3 linked regions of the Cricetulus griseus genome follow. The protein of the gene in region 3 purifies or fractionates together with the protein of the main gene of each other region. This does not show direct contact. Links are inferred from orthologs where the notes say so. Each region holds a gene or a part of one and is shown on either strand. Other genes may lie near its edges.

What was found.
Region 1: the proteins of Ubr5 (region 3) and Cep78 purify together in Homo sapiens (affinity purification with western blotting; 3 studies listed by BioGRID, with this or other methods). This does not show direct contact. The link is inferred for Cricetulus griseus from reciprocal best matches to the Homo sapiens genes UBR5 and CEP78.
Region 2: the proteins of Ubr5 (region 3) and Dyrk2 purify together in Homo sapiens (affinity purification with western blotting; 3 studies listed by BioGRID and IntAct, with this or other methods). This does not show direct contact. The link is inferred for Cricetulus griseus from reciprocal best matches to the Homo sapiens genes UBR5 and DYRK2.

The regions. Positions count from the first base shown.
Region 1 is NC_048596.1:45,106,255-45,113,321, forward strand, and holds part of Cep78 (centrosomal protein of 78 kDa), read left to right. Parts: intron 1-1,125; coding exon 1,126-1,261; intron 1,262-1,616; coding exon 1,617-1,662; intron 1,663-2,974; coding exon 2,975-3,103; intron 3,104-7,067. UniProt on the Homo sapiens protein: Centriole wall protein that localizes to mature centrioles and regulates centriole and cilia biogenesis. Involved in centrosome duplication: required for efficient PLK4 centrosomal localization and PLK4-induced overduplication of centrioles.
Region 2 is NW_023276806.1:137,766,184-137,773,250, forward strand, and holds part of Dyrk2 (dual specificity tyrosine-phosphorylation-regulated kinase 2), read left to right. Parts: intron 1-2,953; coding exon 2,954-4,561; 3' UTR 4,562-7,067. UniProt on the Homo sapiens protein: Serine/threonine-protein kinase involved in the regulation of the mitotic cell cycle, cell proliferation, apoptosis, organization of the cytoskeleton and neurite outgrowth. Functions in part via its role in ubiquitin-dependent proteasomal protein degradation.
Region 3 is NC_048603.1:13,793,672-13,800,738, forward strand, and holds part of Ubr5 (E3 ubiquitin-protein ligase UBR5), read left to right. Parts: intron 1-2,581; coding exon 2,582-2,812; intron 2,813-3,339; coding exon 3,340-3,413; intron 3,414-4,957; coding exon 4,958-5,130; intron 5,131-5,212; coding exon 5,213-5,326; intron 5,327-6,182; coding exon 6,183-6,403; intron 6,404-7,067. UniProt on the Homo sapiens protein: E3 ubiquitin-protein ligase involved in different protein quality control pathways in the cytoplasm and nucleus. Mainly acts as a ubiquitin chain elongator that extends pre-ubiquitinated substrates.

The sequences.
Region 1 (7,067 bases), on a different chromosome or scaffold from region 3:
CATGGAAGTACTTGTGAGGTAGTGGCAGGAGAATCAGTTCAAGGGGATTTTCAGCTACACAGCAAGTTTGAGGTTAGCCTGGACTGCGTGAGACGCTGCCTTAAAAAATAATAGTAATAAAATAAAAAATGCAATAGCACAGGACGAACTGAGTTCCTGCAATTTAATAGTTACACTGATGTATGCAGAAAATGGCACAGGACTGTGGTGATTATCAGTGAGTTAGTTACACTGTATGAAATATCCACCTTGGGCCACTGAGACAGCACAGGGGAAGGCAATTGCCAGCAAGCCTAAAGACCTGAGTTCGATTCTCAGGACCCACATGGTGGAAAGATATTACTGACTCCTGCAAGTTGTCCTCTAATTGCCCACCTGCATGCCACAGCACACATACACAAATCAGTGTGCTTTTTTTTAAAATGACTTTAAAAGAAATATATGTGCTATATAACTACATGTGCTTCATTTTAGATGGCATCCTAGTACAACAAACCAGAGGGATATACACGACCATTCTATTTTACTTTTATTACTTTTTGTTCTTTTCAAAACAGGATCTTATTATGACTGGTCTAAAACTTTTGATGTCTAGGGATAAGATTAAATACAACTGATTTAGTAAACTTTTGTTATTTGTTCTCAGTGATATTAGAGACAAAAACTTAAAATGTGAACTTTAATATATGATTTCTTCTAATAATGTGTTAATATATGGGTTTAACTGCTACAAGTATTTCATGTTTAATTCTTAGTGTTGACTTTAAGGTAAGTTCCTCATTTCATCTTTGTGTGTGTGTGTGTGTGTGTGTTCTATACTCATGTGAAGACTGAAAGTCATCAAAATGAGGATAACATCCACTCAGTAACCTTCAGCCTTTTTGGGCAGGGATTCCTGTAATCCACACACTGTTAAGTCATAGGCAGGAGGGTCGTAAGTTCAAGTGTAGCCTGAATTAGACAGAGAAACCCGTTTTCAAAAAACAAAGTTTATAAATCACTTGTACTGTAATAGCCTTGGCATCGTAGTCAGTTATTCATTTGTGTTCTGTTAGGAGTGTGTGAATGGTAATCTGTAGTCCTTTAGTACATCTTGATTTTCTTTTATGTCTTCCTTGAACATAGGGTTAGCTACAAAGAAACCTGGGAATAATGGGAGAAAACACGGGCTCAGTAAAGACTGCTATGCCCCAGATCCTCTGCCACCAGGCGCGTCAGGTTTCCTGCCCTGGCGCACTGCAGAACGTGCAAGAAGAAACAGGTAAGGTGTTCTCTGTCATGTGCCTCAGTCCTGACTGCTGTCATTTAGGAGCTTCTGTTACATAGGAGTTCTCCTGTTGATTTCTTAAGTGGAAAGGGGTGACTCACGCATAGCCTCTGCAAAGGAGTGCCCTAAGGAAAGACAAAAAAGCAGACTGTATCTACCAATCCTCGGGAACCAGCTATGTTTAAGTAACCTGTCAGAATGACATTCTGCTTGGTCTGTTCAGGTTTTTTTCATAGGTGATTTAGAGGTATTTAGTGCTGTGGTTCTATATGGATAGTGTACATAATACAAATAAGTTTAATCATGTAGTGTGTATACATTAAAATATAACTTGTTGATATCCTTTTAGGGGTTTTCCATTGTTCAAAACTCGTGATATGCCTAACCTTCTGAAGGTATGTATCTGTCATGTTTCTGACATATAAGGGATTAGAGTAGAAGTGTAGGGTCAGCTGAATAGAGAGCTCTGTAGGATGGTTTTCCCTCCCTGACATAAATGTATTTAAAGCTCTCTGGATTCCTGGCTACCATGGTACAGTTACATGTATATGACACATACTTTGGGAGGCCCTTTGTAGATACTATTTCTACAAAAAAGATGATGCTTACAATAGGTTTGACCAGGGGATGACCACTCAAAAATGTTCCAATGTTGCTTTGGAGTATTATATGTATTTTACACACACGCACGCACGCACGCACGCACGCAATCATGCACAACACTCCACGTGTTCAAGTCAGGGTCACAAACAGTCCTTATCCCACTGCCTCAGTTCTGGATCAGGCTACTTCCGTCAGAGTGCTGTGTCACCCTGTAGTCATTCACGGAGGAGAACATCTAGTGTACCACCCTGTGTGTTGGTGTTACGCTGTATACACTAACACATTAGGAGGTCATCTCGTTCTGCCACTGAAGTTTTGCATATCCTGCAGAGTTGTCCCTAGACTGTGTACATTTTCAGTAGGGTTATGATCGTCACATTAGTTGTTAGCTAGAGGGACACCTCATTGAAACTAGACAGGAGAGTTACACTGTTACTACACTAGTCTAGGATGCAGAGAAGTGAAGGTGAGGTTTTTCTGGTGGGTTGTATATGTATGTGACTTAGTTTTTAAAACCATTCTACTATTTATCAATTACAGATAAGCTTATTGACCTTATATTCTATTCATTCTTTTCCCCTAAAAATTATACTTCCACACTCTTTATGTCTCACCTTAGAGTAAATTTATCATCCCCCGTACAAAAATTACCCTGAAAAGAAATGTTTATCCTGGATCTAAACTTGATTTATCTAGGTGGAATTTAGCAAAGTAATGTGGACAGTGCCAAACAATAATCAGCCTTATGCAGTACAGGGTTCTGTAGTAACAGCAAGAATAAGTTAGCAGCTAGGTGGTGGCCTTTAATCCCAGCACTTGGGAGGCAGAGGCAGGTGGATCTCAGTGAGTTTGAGGCCAGCCTGGTCTACAGAGCAAGTTCCAGGGCAGCCAGAGAGCTACACAGAGAAAACCCTGTCTTGAAAAAACTAAAAGAAAAAAAAAAAAGTTAGTGGCGGTTTCTGGTTGTTAACTGTGTTAGGCTAAGGAGCAATGAGATCCATTTATAGGTAATAACTTGGCATTTCAGACAGGTTGATTTAAGCAGATGGCCTCTAGTGTTTATTATTTGTCTTATGGCATTAAGTTTTATCCTCTTTATTTAAGCAATCAGATTTTCCTGTGACTGTGACAGTAGAGAGTCCGTCATCCTCAGAAACTGATGATTTTGAGGATTCTTCAGAAAGTGCCCATGAAGCACCTCAGAAAATCAGCATAAGACAAGATACATTACAGGTACACAGCTCTCCCTTCCAAGGTACAGAGGACCATTTCAAAGTGTAATTTGCTTCTTGGGGAAAGCATGATTGTGAAACAGGCCCAGGCAGCTCATTGGAATACTGTTTGTCCCTCTGTTCTAACTCTTACTGTACTTAGTGGTGAAGAGGAACAAGGTGAGATGACAGTGTGTATACTCCACAAAATAAAAAATAAAAATGTGGTACCAAGTTTTTCTCCTCTTCAAATCAGAATATTAGCTGTAAGGAGAACGTCAGTGATCATAAAATGAGCTTAAGGAAATTGAGTACTGTCATAGTCAGCTGATTCAGTGCTATGTGTGTGTAAGTGTACGTGCATACATAAATACATATGTGCATAACATACATGCATGCATGTGGAGGCCAGAGGCCTTGGTGTTAGGTTAGTCTTCAATTGCTATCAACACTGGGCTTGTTGTTTGCAGAGGTTGTTGTTTGGTTTTGAGACAAAGTCTTTCATTGGCCCAGAATTTGCCAATTAGGCTTGGCTTCCTGGTCACTGAGCCTCAGAGATCTTCCACTTGCTTGCTGGGTGCTGGGATTGTGAGTGTTCCCCACCACACCCAGCCTTTTTTCATGTTCTGATGATCCCACTTGGGTCCTGATGCAAGTGTGGCCTGACTTTGGCTGGGCTGTCTCCTGAGCCCAGTGCTGTTATTTTAAAGACTGGGAAATTGATAGTGCTAGCCAAACTCTTATCATAAGGGAAATATAACTTTGTTTTTAGTAGAAATAAAATTGAGAAGAGGTTCTTTTGTTTTAAGATAGAGTCTTACGTAGCTCCAGCTGTCCTTGACGTCGTTGTACCTCAGTCTGGCCTTGGATTCCTGGTCTTCTCCTAGCCTCCCATGTAAGCCACCGCACCTGGCCTTGGAAAAACTTTTGCTAGTGATGTTCCCCTTTCACAATTTAAAAAATTTAGAAACTACATTTTATTTTATAACTCAGTATCTAATGTCATTCTCATTTTTCCTGTTTGGATAGGCAAAAAGGAAAATTAACGTAAATTAATTTTTGTACTTATGCATGCTGTTTCTTTGGGCGCTAAGTCAGAGCTGATTTGTAGTAGGTTGTGGGAGACTTTGTCTTTAGGAAGGTCGTGGCTTTTCTTGTGTTATGTATAGTTAGGGGAAGCTGCTGGGGACTCGGGTTTGAACTCAGCCTTGTGCTGTTCAGCACACACACACTACCACTGAGCCACACCAACAGTGACTGCTTAAAACTGGTACTGTCTCAGTATAGAACTTAGAAATCTAGAAGTAGCTCTATGTTTGTTACTTACAAATGTAAGTAACAATCCCAGCACCCAGCAGGCCTTCACATTTCTGAGAGCCAGGACATCCAAAATCAAGGTCCAGCGGGTGTGCTGTCATAAGGATTTCTAGTTCATGGATGGCACCTTCTCAAAATGTCATTACATGGTTGAAGGACAGTTACCTATTTTTTTAAATATGGTTGCTGCCATCAGTATTTGATATAAAAATTTAAAACCAGGGCTGGAGAGATGGCTCAGAGGTTAAGAGCACCGACTGCTCTTCCAAAGGTTCTGAGTTCAATTCCCAGCAACCACATGGTGGCTCACAACCATCTGTTATGAGATCTGGTGCCCTCTTCTGGAGTGCAGATATACATGGAAGCAGAATGTTGTATACATAATAAATAAATAAATAAAATCTTTAAAAAGTTTTTTTTTTTTTAAACCAGCTGGGGGATATAGCTTCCCTTCTCTGGCAAGCACATAATACCCTAGGTTCAGTCCAAAGCATTACCCACCCCCAAAGATATAAATACCACAACTTAATTTTTTAAAATTAAAATTCACAATACTTCTAAAGAGAATCACTTAAAGTGATTCTTTAATAACTTAGAAAATTATACATTCTTGGAAGAGCTCCTGTGTGGACCATTTGGGAACACTTCATCTTGTGAGTCAGCCCCTACAGTTTGTTCTTAGTTCTTTATTGCTAAGACGCAGAGGGAAGTAAAATGTGTTGTGTTGGTTTCCTTCACCAGCAGTTTAAGAGAGAGGGTTGTGGGTTTGTAATGTATTGTTTTCCTTCTGTTTGTCCTAAATGCTGGAGACCACACTTTATGCATGCTATAAGCATGCTTTCCACTGCTATGACCCAACCCAGGAGATAATGTGTCAAAAGTGTTTCAAGTCACTGAGGAAGACCATGAAAGGTTCAGGCGTTATGCTGGCCTGCCTCTGTTACCTGCCGGAATCTGCTCAGGCAGTACCCGGATCAGCCCAGGGTTCCATGGGAAGGAACTAAGTCTGCACACAGGTGCAAAGGACCCCTTTAAAAGACAGACCCCTGTCCATTTACGTTCTCTCTACTCTCTCCTGCTCTTCTTTTCTCCCACCTATTCTCTCTCTCTCTCTCTCTCTCTCTCTCTCTCTCTCTCTCTCTCTCTCTCTCTGGCGACCGGCCATGGCGGTCAGCCATTAACCCTGTTTCTCTTCTTTCTTAGTCTCTCTACTCTGCCAGGCCTACAATAAACTGGTTAATATGTCTAATAGTCTCATGTCTCATCTTGCGGCCCCCTCTTCTTTTATTTCTAATTTAAGCAAAGGAATAACATTTGGCACCTAAGCAAAAGAATAACAATCCAAGGTTAGGAATTTAAGCTAGACAGCTTCTTACTCAGGGTGTGCTGAGGACCCTCACAGCGTGTCTTCATTTTGAGAACAGCTAAAATGTGTAAGCCCACAGTAAAGACAGTAGAAGGGATTCTTACTTAACTAAAAGGGGAAGGTGGGGAGAAGGAAATGTAACTGAGTCTGTCCAACATGGGAAGCTATCACTTGGAATAAGCGCTGGGGCAGCTTGGAGGGAACCTAACTGTGCTAGGGTGCTCCCTGCTGGTCTGAGAGTGCTAAGGGTGCTCCCTGCTGGTCTGAGAGTGCTAAGGGCCATTGTGTGAGTATTCACTGATGACTTTTGTTCGATGCACATTTTGGCATATCAGTTATTTTGTGGTTAAAAGCCTGCCGCTGGATTACTGAATGTGTGAGTGGGAACGGACTGTCTGATTATAAACCTGTCTATCTTAATTGAATTCACATGGGCATTCATTCTGCATTGACCAACGGTATATTCCAAGCACTCTTGAGTTTGTATCTGTTACTTCACTTAATCATCGTGTACTTATTCTCCAGTCTATGGATCAGGACCCAGAGTTACAGAATTTTCCAGCTAATGGCCAGGACTTTGTACCAGAGAATCTTCAGTGTTTAGGAAAAAGTAATCAACAACCAAACTTTAACTACTGATTACTAAACAAAGAAATGGAGATTGAAGGAAGAGGGCATGCTTCTACCTGTTCATTTGAAGAAAACTACATTCTTAAACACATCTTCTATGGCCAGGGCTTCTTCATTCTTTATTTTTTGCCTGCTTACTTTGTGCAAGGCACAGGAGGTGATAGGATAAATGCTTAATAAAACATGTTTCTCTCCTTCACACATCTTGCAGCTTACATGGGAAAGTGATAGTCATAGTAGATGAGACATACTAGAGTATGTGTTACTAGAGTAGGCTGTGTTACTGGTAGCAGTGTCAAATCCTAGGACAATATCAGAAAGCTCTTAGGATACGGGTATTTCGGGGCCTTAAAGATGTCCATTTGATGCACACTTCTAAATCTCAGGAGGCTCAGGCAGGAGAATGGAGAGTTTGAGGCCAGACGTGGCTACATAATGAGCCATTATCTCACGAAGAGTGCTGAGAGAAGGAACACTATACAAATGTGGTGTTGTGTCTGATCTTCCCACAAGGGGGAGAAGCTGTTTCATGTCATTACCCTTGGCTGTGCTGTGGAGAGCCAGTCAGAAATGGTGATGTGGAGAGACTGTTGTCACTGATTGGGTGGGACTTTGCAATGCTGCCACTGTTACACAGTCATCCATGCCCCTTTAGCCTTCATTAGTGCCCTGT
Region 2 (7,067 bases), on a different chromosome or scaffold from region 3:
AAGGCTTCATGATAGTGTGGGAAGTGGGCAGATGCTGAGAGTGGTTTCCAGGTATATACACTGTCAGGGATTCCCAAGTATTAGCCAGAGTGATTATTTGGGAAGAGGGTTCTTTTTTTCTGTTTTGAATTTTTTTTTTTTTTAAAGTTGAGGATTATGATAGCAAGAAAACATTTGGTTTTATAAAGAGAAGTTATGAGTTTGTTCCAGTTGCTTGTGGGAGTGGAAACTCCCTTTAGCAGTTGGGCAAAGGGGCATGGATGGGCAGGTCTGCAAGAGGACACAGGAGAGACCGCAGCCAATTATGGGTGCTCCTGACATCCTGGCTGTGTGCAGGATGGACCAGGAAATTGTAGGAGTGGAAAACCCAAGAGAATAGAAGCTTAGATCCATCTATGAGCAGGCAGCCATAGCTGATACTGCTAAAGGAGGGCAAGAGAAGGCAGGTGGAGAGAGGTGGTAGGCCAGGTTATGGGCAAGCTCTTTAGTTCTGGTCACTAAAATATTTGAAATAATGTTTGGTTTCTACAAAATTTAATTGCAATGACCTAAATCAGAGTAAATCCTTGATGCTCAAAATGTTTCCTTTTCCTAGCATTTTAGGACTCCTAAAATCCCAAGGTTGATTTTGTCCTTAATGTGCTTCATGAGTGGTAAAGCACAGATCTGAGTAATGTCGGTTCTTCTGAAGTGTCCTCCATCTTGCCCTGAAGAGAGAGGTTTCAAATCTTTTCATCCCCAGTGTTTGAAAGACTTCAGAGAAAAGAGAGCACAGGGGTGAATGAGGCTTTGGAGGAAAAGCAGTGGATGGATGAGGGCATGATGGAGCACTCAGCCACCTAGCCTGTGAGAGGTGGCGGTGGGTGATGGTGGCAAGTTTTTTATTTTTTTCTTTCCCTAGGGCTAGACTTTGCTAGTGTGTTCTTGGCTAACTCTGGCATCTTAAAAATATGGGGAAGGGAAGGAAGAGAGAGAGGGAAAGAACAATAACAAGTTTGTGCTGCTTTTGTATATGATCAAGACTTTTCTAATGTCTTTTATGGACTGCCTTGCTTTTGAAGCAGGAAGAGATACAACTGCCTTAGTGGAATATAAAGCCACCCTACATGGAGGTATCATCTGTGTGTTCAATAAGAGAAATCTGCTAGAAGTCTTGAGAAGTAAAATTCTTGATCCCGTGAAATCAGGTCCAGGAACTGGCTTCTTTCTCTTTTAGAAGTGAGCGGAGCAGAGCCTCACTCCATAGATGGCCATTATGCTTGCTGCTTGTCAGTTAAAAAAAAAAAAAAAAAAAAGACGGTGAAGGTCATCGCCTGTTAGTAAGGAAGGAAGGGCCGGAATTTCATTTTATAATCCAGGTGTTCCCAAGGTATTTCTCAAATCACTGTGCTTCTCTACTGTACTTCTTTCTTCCCAGAATATGAATGCCCCAAACAGAGGACTTAGCACTGATGACAAAGGACTGTTTTATTTACTATAAATTCCCAATGGGCAGAGTTCCTGCCACTCTGTAGCTAGTCCCTCCTTACAGCTGGTTGAATGAGTGAGGTGGATTTTGGTGACAAGTTGATTCTTTGAGATCTCAAGGAAGAATTTCCCTAGTGGGCTGCTTGAAGGAAATTCCAGGCGGATTCTGGGTAGGAGAGTGGGGGCTCTGCCTTTGGCCTGTAGGTTTTGTTTAAATAGGACTATTCCGGGATGGTATGTGTGCCCGAAATAGAAATTGCCACTTTGTATTTGTATTGGTTACTGTTTCCTTTGCTGGGAGCAAATAGCTGTGCAGAAACAACTTAAAGGAGGAGGGGTGTATTCTGGCTGACACAGTTGAAGACCGGCTACACTGTCATGGCAGTGAAGGCATGGTGGCAGGAACCCGAGGTAGCTGATGTGTGGCATCTGCAGGGAGGAAGCAGAAAGTTGCAGGCTGCTGATACTAGGTTTACTTTGTTTATTCAGTCTTGAACCACAGCCCATGGAACAGTGCCAACCATATTTAGTTTGCCTCTTCCCACCTCAGTTTACCCAATCTAGAAACTCTTTAGGGGACACACCTCCTAGGTAGTTCTACAGCCTGCCGAGGTGGCAGTATTAACATCATGTTTTTCTTTATTGGAAAGCTGAGGGTCACAACAGCCTGTAGAAGTAGAGATACATGTGTGGGTACTGAGCTGTAATCCAGCGGTCCAAGCTGAATGGCAATTGTTCAGCTTGTTGCACAGAATGACCTTAACTGATTAAAGTCAGTGACACCCAGTAACTGTTAAAAAGAAAAAAAAAGGTTTGGAGTTTGCAAGGTAACTAGGGCACACGTGTCTATGGGAGACTCTGTCAATAGAAGCACATTTTGTTTATTACTGTGTGTGTTCCTAGATTAATTAGAACCTCCAGGGACTAGGGAAGTATAAAGTGTTTCTGGAGGTGGGCTGGATATGCGAGGGAGTGCTGGACAAATGTGATTCCCCATTCTCATGTAAGTAAAGAATGCCTGAATAAAAGGGGAAGACACTGTGATCTGGGTGTGGGCAGCAGTGTGGATGACACGTCACCTGTGTGCTTCACTTGTTTCCTTTTCAGATCAGTTATGGCTTAAAATACCCACCATGTGCCAGGCTTCTTATTAAACATTAGGTGCAACATGGTAACAGGAAGGTTTGATCCCTGCCTTCAGGAAAACTGACTTCTAGGACCCAGGCTATGTAGCTGTGGCATTCCCAGGGCTGTCCTATGTTTCCTAACCTTGCCCAATCTACTGTCCTCCTTTTCTTTTACTGTCTTGCCTATTAGCATCCTATTCGCTCTCCCTGCTGGTACGTTCATGGGATCTCTTGGGTACACACACTGTGGCTGTAGGTTCATGCCAAATTGGGGGTTGGGTAATGAGAGCTGATTTCTAATATCACGTTTGGAGAGAAGGCCCCTTCCTTTCTGTTTATGTTTCTTGTCTGGATTCCAGATTGGCGGCGGTAAGCACACCATGAATGACCACCTCCACATCAGCAGCCACAGCCACGGCCAGATCCAGGTTCAGCAGCTGTTTGAGGATAACAGTAACAAAAGAACAGTGCTTACAACACAACCAAATGGGCTTACAACAGTGGGCAAAACAGGCTTGCCTGTGGTGCCCGAGCGGCAGCTGGAAAGCATTCACAGACGGCAGGGGAGTTCCACCTCTCTCAAGTCCATGGAAGGCATGGGGAAGGTGAAAGCCACCCCCATGACACCCGAACAAGCGATGAAGCAATACATGCAAAAACTCACAGCCTTTGAACACCATGAGATTTTTAGCTACCCTGAAATATATTTCTTGGGTCCAAATGCAAAGAAACGCCAAGGCATGACAGGTGGACCCAACAATGGGGGTTATGATGATGACCAGGGATCATATGTACAGGTGCCCCATGATCACGTGGCTTACAGGTACGAGGTCCTCAAGGTCATTGGGAAGGGGAGCTTTGGGCAGGTGGTCAAGGCCTATGACCACAAAGTCCACCAGCACGTGGCCCTGAAGATGGTGCGGAACGAGAAGCGCTTCCACCGGCAGGCGGCAGAGGAGATCCGAATCTTGGAACACCTACGGAAGCAGGATAAAGACAACACTATGAACGTCATCCACATGCTGGAGAATTTTACCTTCCGCAACCACATCTGCATGACGTTTGAGTTGCTGAGCATGAACCTCTATGAGCTTATCAAGAAGAATAAATTCCAGGGCTTCAGCCTGCCTCTGGTGCGCAAGTTTGCCCACTCGATCCTGCAGTGTTTGGATGCTTTGCACAAAAACAGAATAATCCACTGTGACCTTAAGCCCGAGAATATTTTGTTAAAGCAGCAAGGTAGAAGCAGTATTAAAGTGATTGACTTTGGCTCCAGTTGTTATGAGCACCAGCGTGTCTACACGTACATCCAGTCGCGCTTCTACCGGGCTCCGGAAGTGATCCTTGGAGCCAGGTACGGCATGCCCATTGATATGTGGAGCCTGGGTTGCATCCTCGCGGAACTCCTGACAGGTTACCCCCTCTTGCCTGGGGAGGATGAAGGGGACCAACTAGCTTGTATGATTGAGCTTTTGGGCATGCCCTCCCAGAAACTCCTGGATGCTTCCAAACGAGCCAAAAATTTCGTGAGCTCCAAGGGTTATCCCCGGTACTGCACTGTCACAACTCTTTCAGATGGCTCAGTAGTCCTCAACGGAGGCCGATCCCGGAGAGGGAAACTGAGGGGCCCGCCAGAGAGCAGAGAGTGGGGGAACGCACTGAAGGGATGTGATGACCCTCTTTTCCTTGACTTCTTAAAACAGTGTTTGGAGTGGGATCCCGCGGTCCGCATGACCCCGGGCCAGGCTTTGCGGCACCCCTGGCTCAGGAGGCGATTGCCAAAGCCTCCGACTGGGGAGAAGACAGCGGTGAAGAGGGTCACGGACAGCGCTGGTGCTATCACGTCGATTTCCAAGTTACCTCCACCTTCCAGCTCAGCTTCCAAGCTGAGGACTAATTTGGCACAGATGACAGATGCCAATGGGAATATTCAGCAGAGGACAATGTTGCCAAAACTCGTTAGCTGAGCTCCAATCCCCCTGATGCTGGCAAGCTGAAAAATGCGTTATAGCTGAGCCTTATTGGGTTGAATAGTATAGCTCAGACCTGTTTTTATTTGCTCAGAAACTCGACTCGTTTTTATCTTTTCAGCACTTGATGTAAGAGTTTGTTTTGTTTTTATAAAATACATGGGGACAATGCTTTAAGTTTTTATACTTTCTGAAATAGTTTTTCTCCCTTTCTTGTGTTCTAAAAGTAAGATGAGCCTTACTGTATTTAGTGTGGCAGAGTGATCATACCAGTGGCAGGCCATTGATTTCTTCATGACGGCCACACATTTACAGATTGGTCAAACATAATCACTATGTTTTCATGGTTCATCCTCTATGCTCCCCAGGGAGGTGGCCCCTAGGGGTCCTCCTCCTCTCTCCATGCTCTAGGTTCCCGCAGGAGCAGCAGGCCTTGCTTCCATTTTCCGTAAATTAACCTGGGTCAGAGTGGAGGTGGAAGACGAAGGGTCAGGGTGAAAATCTCTAAGAAAAAAACGCACTTTAGAGATTGTCTTTTTCCTCATGGTGTGTTGCCCAGGTTTAACCCGCCCACTTAACATTCTGATGCCTGTAAGCCACCAAGCAACATTTAGTGGATAAGTGGAAGCTGAGATGTAGAATTCCTCCCGAGGCTCTGGGAAGATGGCAAGCTGTCATAATCAGGAAACCTTCTGATTATGAAATTGCTTTTCTGCCTAATTTTAGGACTCCCCCCACCACTGTTCCCTGCTTCTCTTTCTCTTTTATCACACATCTGCTGCCTGCATTTAGTGTGTCTTTTTCCTTCAGCTGCCTACCCCAGACTGTTAATTCATAGAGCCATTTCAGCTGCCATTATGTTCAGAGTTTCATACCCCAGTTTCCAAAAGATCAGCAGCCTAGCTACCTAAGGGGGAGATTTCCATAGTTCCGAAGATTTAGCTGGCCAGAGTGAGTTCACACTGTAGGCGCCACTGAGGTTCCCTTAGCCTGGGAAAGCATCAATTCTTTCGTTAGAAAGAAAAGGGGTTGGAAATCCTCTTGGTGAAGAGAAGTCACTGTGGCCATTCATTTGGGCCAGTTTTAACAATAAATTGAAAGGAGGAGAAATTCAACCTCGAGTTAAATGGTTTGACTTATTCTTTGATTTGTTAGAAGAGCCACGGAAACTGCATCCCTCTGTTTAGTTTTACTTTCTTTTGGATGGCACTGAGTGTTTTTGTGGGGATGACACTTTACCTGAAAGAGTAACTAAGAGTTAGGTAAAAGAATATTTTCTTCTCTGAATGATAATTATTTTCACAGTGAAAATTTCAGTATTTTATCACTAATGGATGAACAGTGATATATATCAATTTCAAGGCACGTGGAAAGAATTTTTTTAGTATGTGCAATTTAATAGAGAAAGATTTCTGCCTGTTTGGACAATAGGTTTTGGATAGTAAAAATTAGGATAAATAATCTTTTATATGCACAGATATTATAGTATTGCCTGTAAATCGATTTACAAAGTACTTAAAGCATGGTCCCCAGTGAGGCCAAGAAAGTTTCCGGTTAAGTTTTTTCTTTATTTTTTAATTCTATGTTTTTTCTTATTTTAGAAAAACAAAAAAGCAAAAAAACAAAACAAAGAAAAAAAACAAATAAAAAGTGTCATTTTGAATAAAACATTTTTCTTATCTTGAGGCTTTGCCAGTTGATGGTGGAAAAATATGCTCAGGAATTATTTCAAATATTTGCCAAAAATCAGTAATAAGATTAGCTTATTAATAAGTTAGTGATGTTGCTGTTTGCTTTACTATTTAAGGATGCCATTGGTAAATTAATTTGTACCTTCTGTACTTAGCAATGATAGCTTATTTCCCTAGTCACATTCTTTAGCATACTGTACACATTTCTGTGTAATCTGTGAAGTGCAATAATATGTCAGTAAGTTACATTTTAAGTGACAGTTCTCCCAATCAGTGGCTTATAGGACTTAAAAATTTGTGTATTTAATTTTTTAAAAAATCGGCTTAAAGGCATGAGAAATATAAGATTTGGTCTGGGGACTTTTGTAAAACTACAAGTCTCTTAGTGATGTTTAGTGCCTTTAGGTCATTCAAGTATATTTAAAAACTACAAAAGCTGTTCTCCCCTTAAGAGGTTCCTGTTCTATTCCCATTATCACTTAGTTGTCGCAGTGTGAGCCTGAGCCTGCTATCACTAACTCCCCTATAACACGGCTATACTTGCAACAGTTTAGAAGTGGATTAAAATTGCTTCTTTCCCCCACCATACAAAACTGGTTCTTCTGATGCCAGCAGAGCATTTGTGATGTGCTTTATCCACAAATGCAACCGGAAACTTTGAAGCCAAACTATAATGTGCAGTGCTATGGGGCTTTCCTTTCTTTCTTTCTTTCTTTCTTTCTTCCTTTCTTTCCCCAACTACAGTGACATTTCTTTTATTCATAAAAGCCTCCATGTTTCAGCATTTACTGATACAGCTACTTTGAGAAGAA
Region 3 (7,067 bases):
TTGATTGGTGTCAGCACTGTGTACCCCTCCCCCCCATCAATGATTACAGTTTGATCACATGACATGTATATAGGTCACTCTTTTTAAGTATGTGATTCATTGGCTTGTTACAAATTTGGAACATTTTCATCATCTCTTTAGGAAATCCTACACTTCTTAGTGGTCATTCCTATCTTGTTTTCTTTATACAGATTCTAAACATATTATGCAAATAGAATCAAACAATATGGATGGGCTGTATGGGGCACACCTTTAATCCCAGCACTCGGGAGGCAGAGATGGGCGGATCTCTGTGAGCCAACCTGGTCTCCAGAGCGAGTGCCAGGATAGGCTCCAAAGCTACACAGAGAAACCCTGTCTCAAACACCCCCCCAGAGAGAGAGAGAGAGAGAGAGAGAGAGAGAGAGAGAGAGAGAGAGAGAGAGAGAGAGAGAAAGAGAACCATACAATCCATGATCTTTTAGGACTGGCTTCTGTTAACACATCGATGTTTTGGTTCAACCATGTTTAGCATTGTCGATAACTCAAAATATTCTGACATTTTGTTAAAAATGTTAAAAGCCATTCACCAACTGACATTTGGAATATTTCTGCCTTTTCACTCCTGTGTATGATGTCGCACATTTCCTTGAAGGTTTTGTGTGGACATGTAGTTTTGGTGTTTTATGTAGTTGTGAAATTGCTAGGTCGTGTGGTAATGTGCACGTTTAACACTGTGAGACACCGCCAGACTGTTTTCCTAAAGGCAGGGTTTGAGAGAGCTTTGGTTTCTCTGGGTCCTTCCCCTATCTACACACACACACACACACACACACACACACACACACACACACACACACACACACACACACACACACACACACACACACACACACACACACACACACACACACACACACACACCCCCCCCCCCCCCCCCCCCCGCTTTAAACTGTTTTCCTAAAGGCAGGGTTTGAGAGAGCTTTGGTTTCTCTGGGTCCTTCCCCTATCTCTACACACGCACGCACGCACGCACGCACGCACGCACACACACACACACACACCCCGCTTTAAAGTAATTTCCCAGTAGAGGATGGCCTTGAATACTAATCTTCCTGCATCTGGACTGTGCTGGGGTTATACGCACAGATAGGGTTTCTCTAGTGGGTGTGATATAGCATGGGACCTGCAGTCTGCAGTCACATCTCAGTTCACACATCTGAGTTCATTATGGTTTGGACTTGTCAACGATGCTGCAACATTATTTTTTCATGTGCTGACTGGCAGTTTGCCCTATGTCTGCTTAGCTCTTTTGCACAGCTGTAAGCTAACTTTTTTACTTTTTGTTTAGTTATGAGTATATATATTTTGAATAATACTTCCTTATCAAACTGTTTTTTTTTTAATGTGTATATATTTGAGTGAAGGTCACTTCTTGATTCTCAATTGAATTGCTCCTTTGGAGCTGCAGTTACTGGCAGCTGTGTGTTACCTTTCTTGGGTGCTGGGATCCAAACTTGTGTCACCTGGAAGGAATAGCAAGTGCTCTTAACTTCTCAGCCATCTCTACAATTTTTCATTTGTTGGTGTCCTTTGAGAAGTACAAAAGTTTCTAATTTTGATAAAAGTCCAGTTCACTTACACTTTCATTTGCTGCTTGTGCTTTCTGGTATCATTTGTTCGTTCATTCTTTCATTCATTCATTCAGAGACAAAATTTTGCCGTGTAGCAGTCTGGTGTCTAATTTGCTGTATAGCCCTGACCTGCTTCTCTCTCCATCCCTCTGCCTCCCATGTCCCAAAGCATGGGACAGCGTGAGTGACCATTCCCCACATTTGACACTGCTTTCAGGCTGTGTCTTAGTTTGCTTTTCTATTGCTGTGATAAATGAGACATGACCATGTGTTATCTCATCTCACAGCTTATAGTCCATTATCCAGGGGAGTCAGGGCAGGCCCTCAGCAGGAACCGATGCAGAAGCCTGGGAAAGGTGCTGCTCACTGTCTTTCTTATGGCTTGCTGAGCCTGCTCTCTTACAGCACCTTGGGGTGGCACCATGCACACAGTGTGCTGGACCCTCCCACATCAAGCATCGGTGAGGAAACTGCTTATACATTGACTAATCCTTTTTCCTAAAGAACTCTAGCTTGTATCAGGTTGACACCACAATGGCCAGCACAGGTGGATGCTTCTCGTCATGGTTCCTAGAACTCCACCATCTTGCCTTAGTGGGCAACTTGTCAGAAATGCAAATTCAGACATTTTAAGACTGGTGTTAGGCAATAAATCATAAGCAGTAGTACATACAAAGAGCATTTGAGTGCTCTATTTTCTCTTACGGTTTACTTAGTCTTACGTTTATGAGTGTCTTGCACATGTGGAATACCTGAGGAAGCAATAAGAGGGTGTCAGATTGCCCTGGAAATGGAGTCCTGGGTGGTTGTGAGTCACCATGTGTGTGCTGGGAATCAAACCCAGGTCCTCTGCAAGTGTAGCAAGTGCTCTTAACTGATGAGCCATCAATCACTTCAACCCAGTGCTTTCCATTTCTTAGTTCTATTTGTGGGTTTTGTAAACATCTTCTTGGTTGTTGTCCCTATAGGCGTGCCACACTGCTTAGCGCCCGTCAGGGGATGATGTCTGCTCGAGGAGACTTTCTCAACTATGCCCTTTCTTTAATGCGGTCTCATAACGACGAGCATTCTGATGTCCTTCCGGTGCTGGACGTCTGCTCACTGAAACATGTGGCTTATGTTTTCCAAGCCCTGATATATTGGATTAAAGCAATGAATCAACAGACAACACTGGACACCCCTCAGCTGGAACGCAAAAGGTATATCCATGCTTTCTTTCCTTGAGTCTTGTTTGAGAACTATGTGGTGTAGTCTCTAAGTTTGGATTAAGGAGACCAGCCCTGCAGAAGCTAACAAAGGTAGTTCATGTAGGAAAGTGGGCTCAACCTCTATCCAACTATTCTGTCATGATTTCCCACTTAAAATGAAAATTTGGAACCCAGTTAAACTAAATTGGTGAGATATTTGTCTTGTCAAAATTTGGATGAGAGTTTGTGTAGACACTCAGTATTTCTTCAGTGATACTTATTTATTTTGGCTTCTGTTGAGCCTATTTTGTTATTACAGGGAATCTGGCAGAGCATTTTACCACCCAGTATCTGAAACTATAAAATAGTAGTGTTAGGTGTGAGTTAGAGCTCAGGATGAGGTGTCCGATGGTCAAGGTGTTTGCCTAACACCCAAGTTCAATCCTTGGGTCCCACATGCTGGTAGAGAGAGACCAAAGTGACATTTCTCATGCTCTTTTCTTGCATGATTTAAATGGCCAACTTTGCTCTTTTCCTAGGACACGGGAACTCTTGGAGCTGGGCATCGACAATGAAGATTCGGAGCATGAGAACGACGAGGACACCAGTCAAAGTAAGTCTAAGCAGGGTCAGGAGATGCCTGCCTCAGAGATGGCTGCTGCCTCAGGGGTTCCCTCCAGGCCTTTAGACTGCACTGTGTTCTGTCTGTGTGGGGATTTCTCTTCTCTGTCATTTTCCTTACACATTCTCCTATTGTGTATTTCATAATTCAGACTGAATTAATGGGAATTTGCCAGCAGTCTCTACTTTTTCAGAATTTCTCTTTTTCATTTCTCTTAGTTTATATTTACCATTACTTCAAATCATGGAAAATGTTAATTCTTTATTAATTCTGATGCAGATTTAGTTATAGAAAGTAAGAGAAATTAAGTTTTTTTTTTTTTTTTATGGTTTTTTCGAGACAAGGTTTCTCCGTGTAGCTTTGGAGCCTATCTTGGCACTTGCTCTGGTGACCAGGCTGGCCTCGAACTCACATAGATTCTCTGCCTCCTGAGTGCTGGGATTTAAAGGCATGCGCCACCAACGCCCGGCTGAGAAGTTAAGTTTTAATGCCACAAAATTGGAGGATTCTGTGAAACAGTGGTTTTCAACCTACCTTGGGGTCTTGACACCTTGGGGATTGAATGATCTTTTCATAGGGGTTGCCTAAGACCATTGAAAAACACAGATATTTACGTTACAATTCATAATAGTAACAAAAAGGACAATTATGAAGTAGCAATGAAAATACTTTTATGGTTGAGGTCGCAGCATGAGGAGGAACAGCATTGAGAACCAGTTGGTACAGAGCCAACTTGTTGTTTTAGTTGGGAGTTAGAGATTAAGAACCAACAGTCCAGTTTCCTCTTTATTACTCCCAGCTAATACTTTTATTAGCTCAGGGAAAGACAGCTGGTCTGGGTTTGGTTTTTGGTGGTTGTTGATGTTGTTTTGTTATGGTGGGTTTGGTTTTTTTTTCTTTCTCCCTTGGAAAGTTCAGCCATAACCCACCATTTCCGCAGCCTTAGTAGGCACTGCCAAGAGTTTGGTTCCATTAAGGAGAGCTGCTGCTAGTGTGCTGGGCACAGAAGCTGCTCGGCAGCTCCTTGTTGATTTCAGTGTGGTAAGCAGGTAGTGAGATTTCGACTTCTTTCATCTCCTTTTGCTGTCACTAGGCTGAGCCCTGAACATGCTCTGGAGACTAGTTGTTCCGTGTTAGCCCATTCTCTGGATCTAAAGAGAAGAGGGTAGGGTGCAAGAAGCCTTTTGAGCAGTGTTCATCCGCTTTTTTTTTTTTTTTTTTTTTTTTTACTCTTGCATTTTTATTGCTGTGTGATATATAATGCATTCAATTCTTTTGGAATGTCACTTAAAATGCATCAAATGCTAGCTGTGGTGTCACACAGGCCTTTAATGTCAATGCTGAGGTAAGTAGAGGCAGGTCAGCCCGGTTGGCCAAGGCTGCCACACAATGAGAGTCTGTTTCCAATCCAACCTTTAACTTACTTTCTAGTATATGAACATTTTATAAGAGCTACCAAGCATTTTGGATTGAGCAAATTAATTTTCTGTTATCCTTTGTACTTACTTTTTTTTTTTTTAATTTTTAATGTTTAGGTGCTACTTTGAATGATAAGGATGATGAATCTCTCCCTGCAGAAACTGGCCAAAACCACCCTTTTTTCCGACGTTCAGACTCTATGACGTTCCTTGGATGTATTCCCCCAAATCCATTTGAAGTGCCTTTGGCTGAGGCTATCCCCCTGGCCGATCAGCCACATTTGTTGCAGGTGAACTAAACAGGTCCAGTGCTCTTTTACAGCTGACGTTGAAGTGTTCAATCTAACTATAATATGTCTTGTTAAATTCCAGCCAAATGCTAGAAAGGAAGATCTGTTTGGCCGTCCAAGTCAGGGTCTTTATTCCTCGTCTACCAGTAGTGGGAAATGCTTAGTGGAAGTTACAATGGACAGAAATTGCCTTGAGGTAAGAGAGTAAAAGTTTACACTGTATTTCTTAGTTAGCACTTTTCCCAGCATCCAGATTTGAACAGATGGGTTAGTTCAGAATATTTTATGTCCCTCAATAGTAGAAATGCCACAAGTCCCTTTTATTACAGCATAATCGAACTGTTCCTCTTTTCACACATCACATATCTCTGGGGTATGCTTAGTGCTTAGTGCCGAAGCCCGTGGTTGATGTGTCCTGCTGAAAATCTAGGTTTCCGGATAAGATCACTTCCGATAAATGAGCACATGTAATTTTGTCTTCAAATTTCCCTTGATGTGCTGAGCTGCTTGAATCAAGAATAAAGACAAATAAGTAATGATAAAGATAAATTAGTAATGACACCTCAGTAATTCTGTCTCATTCTTTATAACCCAGAAAAGATTTAGGTAAGAAATAAGGCTTGAAGAGATTATAAATTTCAAGTGGGAATGTCAGTTATCACACAGCTAAAGTTTTCAGATATATATGGCTGATTTGAGAGGTAAAATTATATCCTGTTTTTGTAGGGAAAAAATAGTATGTTTAAAGGCAGCATAAGAGAAAGATAGCTGAATTGATTTTCTTTTGCAGTTAAGTGATAAAGGAGAATGTATGAGACTTAGGTACCAGAGATAGCTAAGATTGCCTTGAAAATTGTCTAGTGCACTCTGGTGAGTGCACTGGGTGTTGTGGTCCTCGAGGACTGGTCGACAAGAGCAGACTGCATTTGGTGGTGGAAGCTCTGCGAAGGGAGGGGGGCATCGTGACTTAACTCAGGATTTCTGTGGGGCTCCATTAAGTTGAAAACATTTCCCCCCCTTAATGTGTAACTTCTAAACCTAAAATTGCATAGGTTCTTCCAACTAAAATGTCTTACGCTGCCAATCTAAAAAATGTAATGAACATGCAAAACCGCCAAAAGAAAGAAGGGGAAGAGCAGAGTGTGCTGGCTGAGGAAGCCGAGAGTTCAAATCCAGGGCCGTCAGCTCACGACGTTGCTGCCCAGTTGAAGAGCAGTTTACTAGCAGAGATCGGACTCACTGAAAGCGAAGGGCCGCCCCTTACATCATTCAGGTAATGCCCCTATGGCTGCTAGACTTCAGTTTTCATTAGAAGTTCCATATTTTATAAATTTGTATATGTTAAGTATCATAATTACTGTTACTCCTCTGTGGTTTCCTATGAGTTCTCTGGACTTTATGACGTCTTAAAGATTGATCTTCTTTTTCCTGTATTGAATTTCCAAGATGCTATTTTTCTTACTGTTTAATATACTGACTTAAAACCGTCAATTACAGATGTGTTATCAGCAGCTCAGATAAGGAGAACGTGTAAATACTAGAATGAATAGACTGTTTAGGACTTGTGACTCATGTTTAATTGGGGCTCACAGATGGTATGTCTGACAGGTTTTTGTTTACTAAATAAGTTACTAGCATGTAGTGTTGCTTAGTGTTCATTGGTCACCAAGTGATTTGCTGACTCTTGTTCATGCCTTAGTTTTCGGCTAGAAGTATATTATTTTTGCTTAAGTTAATGAGCTAGTTAATGAAATAGGTATGCCTAGGAGTTAAGTAGGGAATGAACAGGATGCCTTGTATGGACACTGTCTCCAGCCATAAAGAGCACGAGGCGATTTCTGTGCTGCAGTCGCCTAGACTTAGAGGTCATGTGAGAAGGTGGTTAGGCCAGGTTGGAGAAAAGGATTAGAGGTCTGAAGACCAGTTAGTAATAGCTC